Kluyveromyces lactis: one gene and its partner. The protein of the gene in region 2 interacts with the protein of the main gene of each other region in a pairwise test. Links are inferred from orthologs where the notes say so. Each region holds a gene or a part of one and is shown on either strand. Other genes may lie near its edges. The genes, in order: THO1 and SUB2.

Region 1 (2,763 bases), on a different chromosome or scaffold from region 2:
GTTGACTCTTAGAGAGATAGGTTGTTGAGCAGTGTTAGAGGCGGTAGCAGCAGACATTTTTTCTATAATAATTGTAATTCTTAATGAATTTGGTTGTTGATGTTCTTTTAGAATATACAATTTGTAGTAGAATAGGGATATACTACAAAGTTTATGATGACTCTTGAATTCAAATTAACCATGATTCGATGGCCTTTATATATTTTGTTTCTGAATCAAACGTCCCGTTTCTTATTCCAATACCCAGTATATACATAAATTAGATAATAGACAATAGACAATAGACAAGAAGTTCAAGTAGTCACGATAGAAAGGACAAAAATGCGTACCACCAGTTACAAGATACCTCATATTAGGGTCTTTGATAATTTGGCACATAGTGAAACCAACTAAAAGAAAAGAGAGACAAATGAGGACTGATAGGAATACATGATATGATATGACACAGATCAGAAGCATAGATGATTACCATACAAAAGTAACAGCCAAAAAAAAAGAACAGTGCATGGAGTAACTGACACTCGTCACCAGAGAGCCAATGCGAAAAGTAACCCAACAGGAATCCCGAAACAAAAGAAAAAGAAGCTTTGGTTTCTTTTTGTCATTTTATGGTGAGCCATTTTGGTGGCAGCTGGTGTAGTAGCTGTGAATCGGAATCAGTCGCTAAAATCTTTTTTTGTGCAGAAAGAAGAAATAAAACGGAATAGGTGATGGATAGGGAAAAGAAAAGCGACAAGGAGGCAAAGGAGGGACAAGCGATTTGGGAAGCTGCGTAGGTGGCTTGGGGAGTGCAGCCGCACGGGGTGGACAAATAGAAGAACAAGGACAGTTGTCCCTGTGAGTCCATTTTTGTGCAAAGGGGACAAGCGGGATGTCCCCTCCCCTCTTCAGAGTGTTTTTTTGTCTCTTTTTTCTTTTTTTGCTGGGTCAGGTGGGAGGGTCAGATTTCTTTTTGCCTTATGGAGGGAGGACACACGAGACACGAGGCTGGAAGGTGGTGGGCAGGTGTCCTTTAGGTAACTTAATGGGTGGGTGTTGCCTCATTTGGAGATAAAATTGAAGGTGTGCGTGAGTAATCAGGGCGGGTAACATTGAGCTTCTCTTTTTGTTGTTAAAAAACTATTGTCCAGGGTAACGTGTTACCCTGGATGTCCGGGTAAGAAGTGTTCTTTCTTTTACACGCACACGCACACGCACACAGTTTGTTCATGGAAACTTAACATGTTGACATTTGATATATGTATACGTATCTTGGAAACGACTTATTGGCATGCGCGACTACCGAGACAATTGGAAAGTAAAACCTCCTCTTTTCCCGACCCGAACTATTCAAAAACATATTCTCCTTTGTTCGCTATGTCGTATTCTGGTAACACCGTTGCTCAATTGAAGGAGTTGTTGAAGCAAAGAAATCTATCTACAGATGGTTTGAAAGCAGACCTAATAAACAGACTACAAGATGATGACTCCACAAAAAACAGTGCAACCAATGAACCATCGTCTATAGCGGAAGTAGAAGCGACCGCTTCTGCCACCGCTGCCGCTGCCCCTACGATAACTTCTTCCATCCCAGATGCTGTACCTGCAGATGCATCAGCTGCGGTTCCTGAAAATGAAAACGTACCATCTACCGAAGAAGACAAACTCGAAAAAACTCCTCCTGCTACCCCAGCCCCAAAGAATCCAGAGCTATCGCAAGATCAATTGAAACAAGCGGCCATTGACCATTTACAGAAAAAAATCTATCGTGCTGAAAAATTCGGACAAGATGATTCTACCATCGATGACTTGCAAAGGCAGATCAACCGTATTGAAAAGTTCGGTTTAGATTTGTCTACCCAATTGGCTAAGGAGCTAGGATTCGGTAAGGGTCCCGACGCAGCCGTCGGTAAGCCAGACAGGAAATCCTTCCAGAAGAAAAATCGTAATAAATCAAACAACAAACGCCGTTAATTCCTCTTCATAAGCGGAACTCGTAGTACCCACCCATCCCTTTAAAGAACAAACTTCCCAAAAATGATGTAAAAAGAAGATTTTCCAGATCTTCTTTACAATTGTTCCGTACTCTCTTCTTGTCGCATTAGTTGTATGTTATGTAATATATATTCAATTGATGAGTCCTTGACCACTCATTCTCTCTGTCAAGTAAAAAAAAATAAAAACGAACCTTACATAATTTGAATCCAAGCACCGGTCAATTACTGCTCAATATATGTCTTTTCGATGCGCATTGGCAGTGCATAGTTTTTTTACATTTCAAATAAGACTACTGCTAAGTAGCGGGAACCTTCGATAGACAAAACTGAGAAAAAAAGAGTGAAACAGAAAACATATCGTCAAGTTTAATACTTATAAAATTTGGCGCTCGCTTCCTAGTATAAGCCTCGAAGAAAATTGTAACACAGAGCCGAGAATTTGTTGTGATTTCGCAACTCATCGGCTTTTTTATCAAGCGAATGTGTCTCCAGACTGGAAAATTTAGAAATTTGAAAAATATCAAAAAAAAAAAATGAAATAAAAGAAAATGAATCCTGAAATATATATATTTATAGTTGTTAATTATACAATTACAAAGCTCAAGAACAAGGAGCAAAACCAATACAACCGCTGAAAAAGACAAGTATAAAGAGTGTGTTTAATTGCAACAAACAAGATCGTTTCGGTGTGCTTTATTCGATAACGTTCGTATTGAATAAAGCGGGTCTATCTGGTGTTTTTTTGCTTGGGTTTTTTAGTCCTTTCTACTGCTATTCTCTATCTAAA
Region 2 (3,339 bases):
GAGTTTTAATACAGCAGATGGGACTGTAAAGGATGTCTTGTAAGAACATACTCTTTATTTGTTTTTACCCCAGAGTTATTATTCTATTTCTTATTTTCGTCTGCAGGAAGACCAAATGACAATAATAACACATAAAAATAAAAGAAACAGACGTCGTTTCTGCCGAACCACGCCAATGACACGGTTCGACTACAGAAAGCGTAACCTGCTTGTCCAGAAAGGCCCATATGTTTACTTTTCTCACCTGTAAAAGCTGACAAGCGGCTTGATAGACCTTATGTACATCACATAAATCCAGTTTATATTATATTCATGACAGACGTCTCCGCTTTAATTATCTGCAAGGGCATATGAGGAAACACTAATACCTAAACCCGACATACAATGAAGCTTTTTTTCATGAGAATTGAATTGATTTTATACACTTATACTCCAATTATGTTACTTAGTTATAATGGGACTATTGGAAATTCGTTTTAAACTGTATAAAAACCACATTTTATTTGATAATACACATTCCAGCTTGTTTTTGCAATTTTCTAGTTTTGGTAAAAAATTCTGAAGTAAAACGCTATGATGAAATATCTAAGTGTTCAAATAAGTAGATGGATCAACACCTTCTTCTGGGAACTCAGTGATCTTAACATCAAATCTTTCTTGGATCTTGGCCAAGACTTGTTCGTCATCTTCACTAGATATCATGGAGATAGCCAAACCCTTGGTACCGAATCTACCAGCTCTACCAACACGATGCAAGTATTGGTCTGCTTCGTTTGGCATATCATAATTAATGGCCAAGTTAATACGTTCGATATCAATACCTCTACCGAAAACATCAGTGGAAACACAAATACGTTTTTCGAATTCCTTGAAAGCCTTGTAACGAGCAATACGTTCTTCTTGTTTCATGTGACCATGCACAGTGATGGCTGGGAAGTTAGAAGCATTCAATAGTTTGGTCAATTCGTTAGCTCTGACAGTAGACTTGACGAAAATGATAACTTGGTTGAATTCCAAATCGTCCAACAATTGAGCCAACTTACGGTTCTTTTCCTTTTCATTCAATTTGATATAGTATTGTTGCAAACCGTGTAGAGTCAACTTGGCTTCGTCATCGACAAAGATTTCTAATGGATTTTGAAGGAATCTTCTACAGATTGGTCTGATTTCTTGGGATAGAGTTGCGGAAAACATCATAACTTGCTTATCTCTTGGGGTGGCTCTAAAAATATCTTGAACATCTCTTCTCATATCCAATTCTTCCAAGACCTTGTCACATTCATCAATGACAAAGTTCTTGACGTGAGATAGATCGATATGCTTGTCTCTAACCAAAGCCTTTAAACGACCAGGAGTGGCTACAATGATATGAGGGACGGTTTCCTTCTTGGATAGCAAATCAATATCGTTCTTATATTCAGTACCACCGTAAAATACAGCAGTCTTAACGTCTGGCATGTATTTGGAGAATCTCAAGTATTCGTTTCTAATTTGGTAAGCCAATTCTCTCGCGTTACATAGCACGACGACACTGACTTCACCTTGAACTGGATCCAATTGTTGCAAAGTAGACAACACGAACACAGCAGTCTTACCTAGACCAGACTTAGCTTGACATAAGACGTCAGTACCATGAATGGATTGAGGAATGGTATGTTGTTGCACTTCAGAAGGATGTTCAAAACCACAGTCAATGATAGCTCTGGACAATTCTGGCTTCAACAAGAAATCCTTGAAACCAGTGGAGTGAATACCAACATAAGAACCTTTCTTATCAGAATCCTTTGCTTGGCTCTCACCGTTACCCTCGGCATTCACTTCAGTGGCCTTGTTGTCAACTTGAACTTCTTGTTCGTTATCGGAATACTCCAATAAATCCTCTTCTGCTTCGTGAGACATTGTTTCGGTTGGGTCTTCTTCCTTGTGGTTGACAATACCAAGTTGCTTCTCAACAAGTTCTATCCTTAGATTAAACACGTATAAATCCTTAATTCAATTAACAACCGTCAGAGCACAACACGCACCTTTTCTTCATAATCTATGCCAAATTATTGTTTTGAAATTCTCTTACCTTTCGCTGTTTTTTTCTTACGTTCTCATTTCGTCGTTAAAACAGATATATTTCACTGTCGTCAGGAGTGATACCACGTACTACATGTAAGCAGTCAATTTTGCCACTGAGAAGTGACATTGGTTGATCACGTGAAATAATGCGGGTAATCTAGAACCCAATTAAATGCAGAAATGACAATAACAAGTCACGTGAGTTCAACAGCGCAAGTAGATAATGACTCTTCAAGTAAGCGCGCTTGATTGAAAATGTTGCAAAGAGTGACACGGGCATCAGGATCATGTATTTCTCTATACAACCGCGACTCATTCTCAGATATAGTTCGAATTAATTGCCGTATAGCGTCCCTTTGAGTGCGCGAATTATTGATGGCAACGGCTGGTAACGGCGTTGCGTTGGTGATTATTTCCTTAAGCATGACAGACACAGAGGTAAAGTTAACCATATCTTTGGTAGCCACCGCTGAATTCGAATCTTGTGTGATTTTCTCAAAAGTGACCGCAATATTATTATCCTTGTTTAAACAATTCGTGAGTAGGTCATTTCCCCAGGGAACCGTATACAATTTACCGTTTAGCTTGTGCGTTTTGACTAATTCTAGACATTGTGACCAGTCCCAATGTTCCGTCTGTGTTAACCCTTCCAAAACGACTAGGTCCGTAGAGTTAGCGTCTATACGTTTCAAAATGGAATTTAGATCTTGTAAGAATTGTTCCTTTGCTTCTTCAGGAGAGATGGGACTTAACTCCCTTGTAATTGGTTCACATAGCAAAGATATTGTCACATCTTTCTCTGTGCCAGCATTTACCTGCTGAATCTTCACTTTTAATGCAAAAAATATCATCTTATTGGCTTCGTTTGAGCCATGTGGAACGTATTTACAGATGTAGTAAAACTGATGGCATCTTTTTAATTTGGATTGCAAGCACCGAAGGAATAAATCATGCAATTGACTAAACTTGTTTTTCCATTGCCTAAAATCTTTAAATTTAGCGTTCAATACCCCCTCGCCCGTCATACCATATACCGTTTCTTCCCCATGTCGTCTTATGAAACCAGTGATCCATTTATTTCCCAAGTGTACCGCCCTTGTTGTGCTGGGTATGCACTCTCTTAAATCTGAGATCAATGGCAGATTACCATAAGCTAATACATAACCCTGCATATTTCGCACCATGTCGGATTCTGCTTCCGGGCTGAATCTCATTTGAGATAAGTGAGAATACGTTCTCGTTGTCTGATTTCTTAACTGCATTTGTAAATCGTGT

Evidence for each region.
Region 1: the proteins of SUB2 (region 2) and THO1 interact in a two-hybrid assay, tested with the Saccharomyces cerevisiae proteins (2 studies listed by BioGRID). The link is inferred for Kluyveromyces lactis from reciprocal best matches to the Saccharomyces cerevisiae genes SUB2 and THO1.

Annotation. Positions count from the first base shown.
Region 1 is NC_006039.1:719,047-721,809, reverse strand, and holds THO1 (Tho1p), read left to right. Parts: upstream 1-1,221; coding exon 1,222-1,953; downstream 1,954-2,763. Other genes in the region: KLLA0_C08217g (HAD family hydrolase), read right to left, coding at 1-57. UniProt on the Saccharomyces cerevisiae protein: Facilitates RNA binding of SUB2 and likely plays a role in mRNA export. Suppressor of the transcriptional defect of HPR1 by overexpression.
Region 2 is NC_006041.1:1,958,330-1,961,668, reverse strand, and holds SUB2 (ATP-dependent RNA helicase SUB2), read right to left. Parts: upstream 1,900-3,339; coding exon 586-1,899; downstream 1-585. Other genes in the region: FDO1 (Fdo1p), read left to right, coding at 1-43; KLLA0_E21913g (uncharacterized protein), read right to left, coding at 2,259-3,339. UniProt on the Saccharomyces cerevisiae protein: ATP-binding RNA helicase component of the TREX complex involved in transcription elongation and required for the export of mRNA out of the nucleus. SUB2 also plays a role in pre-mRNA splicing and spliceosome assembly.